3 linked regions of the Ovis aries genome follow. The protein of the gene in region 2 purifies or fractionates together with the protein of the main gene of each other region. This does not show direct contact. Links are inferred from orthologs where the notes say so. Each region holds a gene or a part of one and is shown on either strand. Other genes may lie near its edges.

Evidence for each region.
Region 1: the proteins of CBX5 (region 2) and MECP2 purify together in Homo sapiens (affinity purification with western blotting; 3 studies listed by BioGRID, with this or other methods). This does not show direct contact. The link is inferred for Ovis aries from reciprocal best matches to the Homo sapiens genes CBX5 and MECP2.
Region 3: the proteins of CBX5 (region 2) and AHDC1 purify together in Homo sapiens (affinity purification with mass spectrometry; 3 studies listed by BioGRID and IntAct, with this or other methods). This does not show direct contact. The link is inferred for Ovis aries from reciprocal best matches to the Homo sapiens genes CBX5 and AHDC1.

Annotation. Positions count from the first base shown.
Region 1 is NC_056080.1:80,263,955-80,267,598, forward strand, and holds part of MECP2 (methyl-CpG-binding protein 2), read left to right. Parts: intron 1-2,798; coding exon 2,799-3,149; intron 3,150-3,644. UniProt on the Homo sapiens protein: Chromosomal protein that binds to methylated DNA. It can bind specifically to a single methyl-CpG pair. It is not influenced by sequences flanking the methyl-CpGs.
Region 2 is NC_056056.1:132,284,986-132,289,424, reverse strand, and holds the start of CBX5 (chromobox protein homolog 5), read right to left. Parts: upstream 2,927-4,439; coding exon 2,793-2,926; intron 1-2,792. UniProt on the Homo sapiens protein: Component of heterochromatin that recognizes and binds histone H3 tails methylated at 'Lys-9' (H3K9me), leading to epigenetic repression. In contrast, it is excluded from chromatin when 'Tyr-41' of histone H3 is phosphorylated (H3Y41ph).
Region 3 is NC_056055.1:239,497,092-239,500,735, reverse strand, and holds part of AHDC1 (transcription factor Gibbin), read right to left. Parts: coding exon 907-3,644; 3' UTR 864-906; intron 1-863. UniProt on the Homo sapiens protein: Transcription factor required for the proper patterning of the epidermis, which plays a key role in early epithelial morphogenesis. Directly binds promoter and enhancer regions and acts by maintaining local enhancer-promoter chromatin architecture.

The sequences.
Region 1 (3,644 bases), on a different chromosome or scaffold from region 2:
TGCAGTCTGGGCACAGGGGTCTCCCTACTTGGTAGCCAAAGAATTCTCTCCTCCCCTCCTTGAGCTTCTTTTTAGTTGTTCCTTTGTGTTGAGGTGGAGACTGCTTATAATGCGGTGTTTGCTGCTCCTGCAGTGCCTCCTCGCAGGGCTGGCTGTCGCTCCACCCTGCTGCTGGCCCAGGTTTCCCTATCCTCAGTTGGTGACACTTTTCCCCACACCGGCCAGCTGTGTTGCTTCACCTCCTGGTCACGTCCCGAGTCCCCACTACCTACACCTGGGACTGTGCCTCGAGAGCCCCTGGAGCAGTCTGCCCTGCCCTGGGCATCGCCCCATGAGGAATTGCCATCCCCTGCCCCAGATCATCAAGGTGATGCTGCTGCAGGGCTGCTGTGGCATGGAGTCCAGCAGGCCTCAGAGTCCCCCAGGCCACCTGCTGCTCTCTGGGGTCTCCTGCAGGCCACTCTCCACACAGCAGCTGAAGGAATCCCATCACACCCAGAATCAAACCCGACACAGCTCCATGACCCCTCCTTGAGGCCTCCCTGCTGCCTAAAACCTTCCTCATAAGACCCTTGAGACCCTCCCTCACTTTCTGTCTTTCCCTCCTTTTCCCCCCAACATCGCCAAGCGGGTTATTTTCTTCTCTGAAATCTAAACAGTTCATGCTTTTGGATCTTCACTTTCCCCAGCACAGGCTGCCCTAGGACCTGAGCCAGCCTGTTTCCCCTCCATGGATGCTAGGCGTGTTCTAGTCTCTTCCCTTCTGTCTTGATTTTCTTTTTGGTTATGTCAACTTTTACATGATTCGGAAAATGAAATTCTGGTCCACACACCTGGCAAGTTCTGGCCCTGTGCCATTCCTCACCTCAGTCCCGCCTACCCCATGTTGGACTAGTTCTGTGCATTTCTGCCCTCTGCTTCCTAAAGTCTCTGTTTCTCCCCTGGAGAATGGCCTACCGTGGACCCCTTCCTGGGGGTCCCACCCTGAGTTTCCCACCCTGGGGTTCAGGTTACCTGGCTCTCCGTGGTGTGCACATGTCAGTGTTGGCCCAATAGGTCTCGGGCGGTGGCTGTCTGGCTTGGCTGCAGTCTTGGGCCAGTAAAAAGAATGCTATCACCAATAGCATTGTGCTCAAATGCAGAATGTTGTTTTCTGTTTCTGTGGGTATGTGTTCTTGGTAGATTTCTAGAAGGGCTGGCCCTAGACGGCATTGACACCCTTGTTGGTACCTAAGGGGCATTCCTGGGGCACATGCTTCATGCCAAAGCTCACCGTAGTTACAGTATCCACAGATGCACATGAGGGCTCTGAAGAAGCCAGACTTGGCCATCAGGGCCCTGTTTTCCTGTGGCCTGGGACTGTCTGGGTTCCTGACACAGAGCTAAGCCTGGGCTTACCCTCGAGCTCTGCCGGAGACAGCCAGGATAGGTAGGAGGGCGAGGTGTGCCCTTTCCATGCCCCGTCTCCCTGGGCCCGACCTGTGAGTTCTGGTGCAAACTCACTTTTGGGGACTGAGCCATGTCATTCGAGTCTTGCGGCCAAGGCAGGCCTTGGTGCCTTGGTGGTGGTCTCCAGGGTATGGCCAGCAAGGGAAGTCACTTGGGGTGGGTTGTTGTGAGCCTCACGGGCCCCAGGAGGCTCTGGGGCTGAGATCTGGAACACAGATGAGTCTGGCTCTTTTCCAGGGTGAGTTTCTAAGAGAGGGCTTTGCAGGTGACTGGCTCTGAGCCCACAGTTCTGGTTTCCAGGCCTCCCTGGCCCAGGTGATGCTCTCACCCTGTTGGCCCAGCCACGAGAGCAGCATGGCCAGACTCTAATCCCAGAGTCTGGAGCCTCACAGTAACCACTGTCCAAGGAGATAGGAGGGGGTCCTACCGGGTGGGACCCATGCATACCGGAGGAACTGGTCTGTCAGCATGGAGGAATGGGGAGGCACCCGCCCTGGAATCAGGCACGTCCCAGTGCCAAAGCCCCGCGTGGTCAGGAGAGTCTGGTGAGAAAGACTCACCCAGCAGGGAATTGCTCCTCTTCTCACGTGAGAACCCTGGGCAGTAGTGTCTGGTTGCCCCATCCCACTGTTTAGACAATGCCTTTGTGACTCTTCTCTGTCTAGGGTGTTGGTACCCATTGTCAAGATAGGAGGAGACTGAGGCACAGGATGTTGAAGTCACTTGTGCAGATCCATGTTTGGAAATGGCAAAAAAAAAAAAAAAAATCACGATTTGGGCTCGGTGTGGCTTACTCCAAATCTGCAGGTTTTTCCTCAACACTGCACTCGGCACCACCTCCCCAGGGGCAGTGTTGGGCTCTTCCCATCACCAAGGTGTATTGTACGGTTTTCATTGAACACCCATTTGAGAAAACCCCAAACACAAAAGCTTAAAGTAACACTTATGCTTAAAAACACAAAAACTTAAAGTAACACTCCCTGGGGAAGAGGAGCCCCCTCAATTTTGGTGAGTAGGTCCCTCTCCAGCGGGTGAGAGAGCCTCTCATCATCCGTCCAACCCAGAGGCCCTAGCTCGTAACACCGAGAAGCCATCTTGGCAAGCCTGCTAGAGATGGGCCTCAGGGTGACCACAGTGTCGGTAGGGTGCTGTGGGCCATCACTGTCAGCAGCCCCAGGCTCTCAAGTCATCTGTGAAGGGGAAGGGCATTTCAATCTGGGGGACGCTAGTAGGACAGCCCCTCTCCTGGGGCCCTGCCCATGTCAGGGCACCCCAGACCTGCTGGCGCCCACTTTTTTCTGCACACCAGTTTGTTCCCTGTGATACTGACATCCTTGTTTAACACTCAGGGAAGAAAAGTCCGAAGAGCAGGATCTCCAGGGCCTGAAGGACAAACCTTTGAAGTTCAAAAAGGTGAAGAAGGATAAGAAAGAAGACAAAGAGGGCAAGCATGAGCCCCTGCAGCCAGCAGCCCACCACTCTGCCGAGCCAGCAGAGGCCGGCAAAGCAGAGACCTCAGAAGGGTCAGGCTCGGCCCCAGCCGTGCCAGAAGCTTCTGCGTCCCCCAAGCAGCGGCGCTCCATCATTCGTGATCGGGGCCCCATGTACGATGACCCCACTCTGCCGGAAGGTTGGACCCGAAAGCTTAAGCAAAGGAAATCTGGCCGCTCCGCTGGGAAGTATGATGTGTACTTGATCAAGTAAGTGAGGGTGATTCCTGTCTCTCCAGAGCAGGGAAGGCTAGTGGTGGTGGTTGGGAAAGAGTCAGGGATCACCACTAAGAAACTTTTGGGGACCCCTTGGAGTGTTAGCTCCTTGCGGCTCATGGATCAAGAAAGTGTGTGTGCGTAACCCACTTCCGGTCGGGTCTTCAGTAGTGACCACTGCTGGTGGGTCTGATCAGGTATGCTTGGAATGACCACCTGGGGAGGTCACTGCCCTGAGGGAGATGTCCATCAGGGCCTTGTCTGGAGGAAGAATAGCACTGGGGACACAGAGTTCTGCCATTCATACTCTGCTGATGATTTCCCAGCAGAGGGGCTGTCCTCAGGACCTGGGAACCTCTTCTTTGTGGGAGAGTCCTTCTGTGCCAATACTTCATGAGCCCTGAGAAATACAAATTCACAGGGTTCAGTCTGTTGCGTGAGGCGTGCTGGTAAAGGGGGGCTGTCTGATACAGCCTAGAGAGAGCCCCA
Region 2 (4,439 bases):
CTTAATAATGATGGAAAAATCTGAGCTATTTACTCTAGACTTCAGCTTTCTGCAAAAAGAGCTTAAGAATGAAACAAAGTTTATTTCTAAATCATTTGAGCTAAAACTGGAAAGCCTCTCCCTCACAGCTCTTCTTTCAGCCAAAAAAAAAAAAATCCTCATACAATAACTTTCTCCCAAATTCACAGATTATATATAGTTTACTATCCCAGGAGAAATTAAGGCACAAAAACCAAGAGGCATGCCAACACTGTAGTACAGTAAGCAAGCTAAGATGCAGAGGTAGGAGAAGAATCTCTGTTGCCACCAAGGAAAGCCAATCTTCTAAGGGGATTATCCCTTTCCCCACCAGGTTAGTATTGTTTCTACATCAATCAGTTTTCACCCAAAAGATAACATGGTATAACTTACAAAGAATCTGCATTTAGTTTTATTTATTTTTAAGAATCTGCATTTTAGCACCAAAGAAATGTGATGCTGGATCCTTGTTTTAGCATGTATCAGGTATGTTATCTCTAGTAAACAATTTCCTCATCTGTAAATACCTCTAAAGGCTGTTATGAGAATTACAGAGAACACATGAGGTAGGATATAACCACTGCCTAGCAAACAGTAGGTACTCAGTTGTGGACAGTGTTGAAGGGGCACAATCTGTCTCAGTCTTTAATGAAACTCTGGATACTTTTGAAAAACTCAGGACAAATGTTAATCCATCTACCCTAAATCTTTTCTTTACCTCTTTTATCTATGTAAGGTATCAATAGCTCAACTACACAGTCTTCAAATTCTTCAAAAATACCCAACAATTTCCAGTGATGATTCAATGGGTCAAATAAACATTCTTAAAGTCTTCAGGTGTACTTTTGTTTTTTAAAGATTTATTTTATTTTTGGCTGTGGTGGATCTTCTCTGTTACACTCAGGCTCTCTCTAGCAGCAGCAAGCAGGGGCTACTCTTCGTTGCGGTCTGCAGGTCTCTCATTGCGTTGGCTTCTCCTGCTGCAGAGCACAGGCTCTAAACCGCTGGCTCAGTAGCTGGGGTACCCAGGGCTTAGTTGCTCCGAAGCACGTGGGATCTTTCTGGACCAGGGATCACACCAGTGCCCCCTCCACTGCAAGGCAGATTCTCAACCCCTGGACCACCAGGGAAGCCCCCTTCCTGAAGGTGTATTTTAATTCCTATCTCATGATGCTCTAGGCCTCTCAAATCCGTAGTGCTCAACTCTAGAGGATGCTGCGATACCATGCTTCTTTAGAAACATGGAGGGCACATTCTGACTGCTGTGCTACCCACATTTAGTTCTCTCTGTGCTACAAATGCTAAGCATCCTGCAGTGCATGAACTGTCCCAACTAAAACACCAACAATGCTCCAGATGAGAAACTTGATTCCCACAATAACCTTAACTATACTCCAAAGGCTCCTGATCATACCTTTGTCCAAAGGGACTGACAAAGCATTCAATCTTTTATTAAAGTCTCACACTTTTAAGTTGCGATGTTTAATACGGTAACTACTAGCCACATATGGTAAATGAACATTTGAAATGTGGCTAGCATGAACTGAGATGTGCTACAAAATGAAAAATATACAACAGATTTTAAATTCTTAGCATGAAAATATAAAATTTCATTAATAATTTTTGTATTAATTTTGAAATAGCATTTTGGTGGGAGTGTCTAATAAAATATATTATTAAAATTAATTCCACTTTTCCTTAATATAGTCACCATAAAATTTAAAATTACATCTGGCTTGCATTCCATTCCTATTGAATACTCCTAGGAGCCTAAACCAGTTCCTATCAGCTCACTGGTGTTCACAGAAATCCATTCTTTGTTATCAGGCATCCTGGGAAGAGAATTAATGAGAAATTAAGGCAAAATGCCTAATGATTACACAGCTTCATGCAATTCACTTTTCAAGCTACCTCTTCTATGCTTCAGTATGTGTATATTTACTTCAGCACTTAAAGCCAGTTACTGCCTAACTCTGAATACTCAACACTTCAGTATCATTCTTAAAGCTCACTGACGTAAAAGAGGGGTTTTAAGGTCTTTAATAGTAAAAAAGACAGATTGAGGAATAAAGATTATATTAAAATGTTATTGTAGAAATGAGGTGGTATGTATTTGAGTGTTCACTCAATTTCTTTTGCGTCAGTTATATATATATATTTTACATTTTTAAAAATAAATATTGGGTCTCAGATTTAAGTCTCTTATTATCTTATTAGGATGAGTGTTACAAAAAAATAACAAAGATGAGTGTTTCATCCTAGGACACTTTTGAGGGCCAAGGGTCGTTATGGAGCGCTATGGGATCAACTACAACTTCTACTTAAATGTATGTATTTTAGTTTCGTTACATCCAAAATAACAACAACAGTTTACACGTACACTGACCTTATGTGTCTGACTCTATACATCTCCCCAACATCTCTACGATATATACTATTTCTTATCCCTATTTTATTGAGGAAGAAAGATTAAGGAACTTCAGCAAGGTCACCCAGCTCATACTGTAAGTGGTGGGAGCAAGAATCTGGACGCAGGCAATCTGGCCCCTAATCTATGCTTCTAACCAGTTCATTACACTGCCTCTCAAAAGCAGTCTCATTAGAACATCAGCTCCAAGAAGGGGAGACTTTGCTTAGTTCACTGCTGTGTCTTGCGACTCTTAGAAAGGAGTGCAGGCGAGGAAAGAATATGACAAAGATGGTGATGGTTCACAGGGAAATGAACCAAAGCTGTCTACTTCCCTGAGTCCCAAAGCATGAGAGAAAGTACTTACTCAGAAAAGCCTTTCCACTTCAGTAGATATTCCACTTGTCCCTTAACCACACGCCTGTCTAGCACCTTCTCCACAACGTACTCCTCCTCATCTTCTGAAGAACTGTCAGCTGTCCGTTTGGTTTTCTTTCCCATGTCTCACGCTGATTCACCTGAAGGACTAAGGCCACCGGGTTCCTGCAAATGGGAAGGACAAAAATGGTCAGAATCCATGCAAGCAGTTAAAATGTTCAGTCTCTCAATGGGATGCAGCAGGTATAACACAAAGCTGCCATGTACCTTTCTCTTGGGTCTTGAAACATTCTACAGATGAGTCCTAAGAAGGTAACCAAAAATGGGCAGGTCCCCACTTTCTTAATTACAACTTCCTCTTCAGCTCACAAGATCAAAATTATTAGATGGGCACAATTATCTAACTCTAATTTCAGAGTCTATAAAACAAGTAGGGTGGTATTTTACTCCTGGTACCTCTACGACTGTCTACAAGTCATAAACTGGAACAGAAACATGGAAAACCTTCCATTTAAATAAGATTTTCTATAAAAATGAGAAAAAAAAGAAAAGCCAGCAAAATCTAACTTTCTTCTGCTCTGAGCATCCTGAACAGTCTCTTAACAGGACAAAAAAGGCCTGCTCGGGCATGTTTCACCACATTTTCAGTGACTCGGTACATTTCCCTTCAACAAACTGAGCTTGTCCCTTCAGAGCACCCATCAGCTCACAAAAGCAAGGCTGACACCTCAAATATATTAAGCCTCATCTTTCATTTGGGGATCGGAGGGAGGCATGGAGGAGAAAAATATTTTTTAGTCCTAAAAATCAAAACTAGTCATTGGGCTGTTCGGTAATTCTTAAGGCTCAACTAATCCAAATATTAAGGAGGTACCTCTCCTCTTAACTGGAGCTGACTTTGGGCCAAAGGAAGAGGAGGAGGAAAACAAGAGGTCTGGTCCCAGACTCACAGCAACATGAAGCCTCCAAACACAGAAGAACCATTCATAGGCCCAAGGAAAGCTGAAGCAAGGCAACACAAATGGAAATTGAGTTAAGCTCAGAAACATGCACAACCAGGGGGTATGCAGCAGAGACTCTAGTGTTTTAAATTCCCTCCTTGTTGTCAGCACAATCATTTTTAAGAATTCTTCCTTAACCATGTTAAATGGTGCCTAGAGTCTGGATTATAGAGTAGCAGGGATTGTTTTCTTAGCTGAACTCCATTTTATTTTGCTGTAAACCTTAAAGCTTTTTTTCAGCATTCTAAAAACATTTTCTTTCTGATCAGATGACCACCCCAGGAACAGGAAAGGTCACTACTAATCTCAGAATTTTGTCTTTGAGTACCATAAAAAGTTGCATTAATCAATTTACTTCAAACTAGCAAAATTTAGGGAATTATTCCAAGAATATATAGTTGTAAATCATACCTCCAGAACTTACTAGCAATAGGTCTGCCCACCCAAAAAACTGTCTGTATGTTTTTAGCAAAATACTTCATTTGGATGAGGGAGTGGGAGTGTGGGGAACGTAAGGTAAGGAGTTTCAAAATAATTTTTCCACGAATTCAGACGGGAGTCCTTTAGCTTCAAGGAAAAAAAAAAATCTGATTTATTTAAAATAAAAGCAGCCTCCAACCTCACCAGAGACAGGA
Region 3 (3,644 bases), on a different chromosome or scaffold from region 2:
CCATTTTGGGGGCATTTCCCCCTCTTTTATTTTCCTTTTCTTGAACACAAAATCTTAAAGAATACTGAAGGAAGTGACAGTACCTGATAAAACAATATCGAAATACCTAACAATACTTAACTGAATTCTTAAGGAATGAATTTGGTTTCAGGAAAGGGCCTGGGGTTTTTTAGGTAGGCAACATCCTACCTGGGGACAGACCCATTGGCTGGAGGTTCCCAGACACTGAAATCCCAAATACCCCTGTGGAATAATAGCCTTTGAGGTACCCTGCGAGGCCAGAAAAGGACATCCTAGCCACACCCTCAGCCTGGCCTTTGTCAGACTGCATCTTGAATTAAATGAAGTTCCCAGGGAGACAAGGAAGCGGGCAGGATCAGTATCCTAGATGGGCCTTTGTGGGTAATTATCCAACCTGCTTCTTCCTTCATCTGTCTTATGCAGTGATGCAAACACCCTCCCTTACAAGAGGTCAAGTGATAAGTGTGTGCTGGGACTCAGGTGGTCCCTGCTCAGGACCGAGCGTGGCTAAGGAGAATGGACACCTGATGAACCAAACCAGACTGCCCTACTCAGTCTACGGTCCTCCAGCCATTTAAAAAATGGGACCCCTGAATGTCTAAGCCCCAGGCTGGGTTCCCCACCCAAGCACTCACCTCCTCCCTAAGACTGTTTCCAACAGCTAATGCCAGACCCCTTGAATCCCAACTCCCTGCTCTGTTGTTGGGTCCCCAGTCTTGCCCTCCAGTCCTTCTGGCTCGTGGCCATCCTTCTGCCCCCTGCCCAAGCTCTAATGTCTTCACGCTCCCCAGCCCCAGCCCCCAGGCTTCTTCTGCCCACTGCACCCACATCCTCAGACTCACCCAGGAACAAAACCTCGAGGTCCAGTCGGCACTTCAGTTGGCACTACAGGGAGGTGACGGTGAATGTGTCCTCAGGGTGAGGCTCCGCCATGGGCCCCAGGAAGCCGCTCTTGGGGCCCCCACCCAGGCCGGGATGCGCCTGCGGCATAAAGCCTGGATACCTGTAGGCGGTATCCTGCAGGGGCAGCAGCGAGTCCCTCGGCACGGGGGACAGGGTCAAGTCACTAAGAAGTGGGCAGCCATAGGCAGCAGCGGCTGCAGCGGGGCCACGGGGTGGGCCGGGCGGCCGGGCCATCTCCAGCGGCTCCTTGTCGGCCTTGGGTGTGGCCGGTGGGCTAGCCAGGTGTGGGGCACTGAGGCACGCAGCCTCCGTCCTGCCCAGGAAGTCAGCCAGCAGCCCCGAACCCACCTTGCTTTCGTAGGGTGGGCTGCGGGCAGCTGAGCCTGGCGGGTACCAATACGCCGTACCCTTGCAGCTGGGGGAGTCATAGTGAGGCTGGCCCAGCGGCAGGTCCCGGCAGCTCAGGTGGGCCTGAGCTGCAGCCGCGTGGCCCAGGCTGGCCCCCTGAAGCCCATGCTTGAGGGGCTCACAGGCAGCCAGCTTTGTGGGCGGCGGCCGCAGCTCTTCCTTGAAGCCCAGGGTGGGTGAGCAGGTAGGCGAGTACGCCTTCTGCAGGCCTGCGTCAAACACCGTGGGTGGATGGGCCAACGGCGGGAAATGCTTGCCATCCAGCTCAGGGGGCCCCAGGCTAGGTGAGTCGCAGTGGAAGCCTTGGCTGAACGTGCCGTCGGACGGCGTGGATGGGTTCATGGAGTAGGGTCCCATGAAGTCACAGGGGTCGCGCTCGCCCACACTGAAGGCCCTCGACTGGGAGGGCAGCGGGGACATGCTGCTGTCCCCGCTGTAGTAGTCCAGGCCGAGGTCCGGGCTGTCCTGGAACAGGGGGTTGACGGGCTGCGGCTTGGGGATGAACTTGGCTTTGGCCGCCGCCCCACCCCGCTCCTTCTTGGCAGAGCAGGCGCCACCTCCCCGGCCACCCCGAGGCTGCCGGGGCCCGGTGCTCCGTTTGGACGGGTAGCCTGAGGCAGTGGCCGAGGCAGACGACGGGAAGCCCAGATGCGAGGCCTCAAACAGGTCCACCTTCTTCCGCCGTCCACGGCCCGGCTTGGAGCTGCTCTGGAAGAGGACGCTCTGGTTCCAGTTGTAACCGGGGGCGGACGAGGCCTCATTCCAGTCCATCATCAGTTTCTCCAGGCTGGACAGGCTCGACTGGCCCTCGCTGCTCGAGGCCTCGCTGTTGGCACGCCGGAAACCGCCGCCGACCGGCTGATTGAATTGGGTGCTGTCAGAGGAGGACTCGGAGAAGGTCTCGGACACGGCCGTCTGCTGCTTCACCTTCTGCGGGGTGTAGTTGGAGATGTCCAGGATCACGTTGGGCTCGCTGACGTGGCAGTCGAAGCCAGGATTGTAGAGCTGACTGAAGGCCTCCGAGGCCCAGTCCAGGCCTCCGTAGCCCTGCCGGAAAGGCCACTGAGAAGCCCCCGCAAACTGCCGACAGTTCTCAGGCGAGGGCTGGAAGGACGAGGACGACGAGGAGGCAGCGGAGGTGGCAGAGGCCGTGGTGCCCTTGGGCACCATGTAGCCACCGGGCGAGACTGTGCTGGCCCGGCTGTCACAGCGCAGAGGTGTGGGGGCTGAACCAGAGAAGGGGGCCCCCTCGGAGCTGTTGAAGAAGGAGGCCTTGCTTGGTGGCAGGCAGGGGCCACCAGTGGGCGGTGGGGCGTAACCGGCGCTGTGGGCGCTGCTGGGTGAGGCAGGTAGGCTGTTGCCGCTGCCGTACGCAAAGCTGCAGTCCTTGCTGTTAGCGCAGTCCTGGCCAGTGAAGGGCTTAGCCGGGGCAAATACACTTTGTCCGGCCCCATAGCCGCCGTACTGTGGGGGGTAGGTGTTGGTGGGCGGGTGGGTGGTAGGTGAGCGGGCCACAGCGGAAGGTGGGGGTACCAGCTTGGGGAAGGTCTCTGCAGCCCGGCAGTCTGAAGTAGCCGGGGTGAGCCCATAGCTCGCTGCCCGGCCGGGTGGGAAAGTCTGGCGAGCGGGCAGCACCGGCTGGAAGGAGGGCTCAGCCCCAGCCCCGCCACTGCCCACGGCCACTGGGCTGGCCTTGGCTCCCCGGCTGGGGAAGGTGGCCAGGCCCCGCTGGGCAGGCAGGGCACTGGTGGGAGGCCCTGCGTAGGTGCCTGATGCCTTCCGGGACTCTGGCCGAGAGGCCGAGAGGGCAAAGTCCAAGAGGTCGGAGGAGTCGTCGGAATCGAGCAGGGAGCGGAAATAGCCGGTGAAGAGGTTTTGGCGCTCCTGGCTGAGCTCCGCCTGGCCCGTGGGCGCGGCTGCGCTGTAGTAGCTGCCACGGCCTGAAGCCCCGCTCTCTAGCCCAGTGGAGGCAAAGGCCCGGGCCTCGGTCCCCTGGAACCCACAGTTTCGGCCAGCCTGCCCACCTGGGTGCCCGTGGTGAGGGGCCCAGCCGCCACCCTTGTCCCCAGCCCACTCAGTGCCTGCCTCCCCAAAGCCGGGGCCGCTGGGCACCTGCTCTGGGAACAGAGTCCCGTTCTTCCGGGACCGCCTCTTGCGTTTCGGCTTCCCAGTCACCGCATCCACCTCCCCCCGGCCTCGCTTGCGCGGGTGCCCCAGCTCAGTGAGGCCGGGGCCCCCGACCCCTGCGGCTGCCACGGCCACCACCTTCTTCTTCTTGCCAATGCCCTCAAAGAAGTCACTGAAGGAGCACC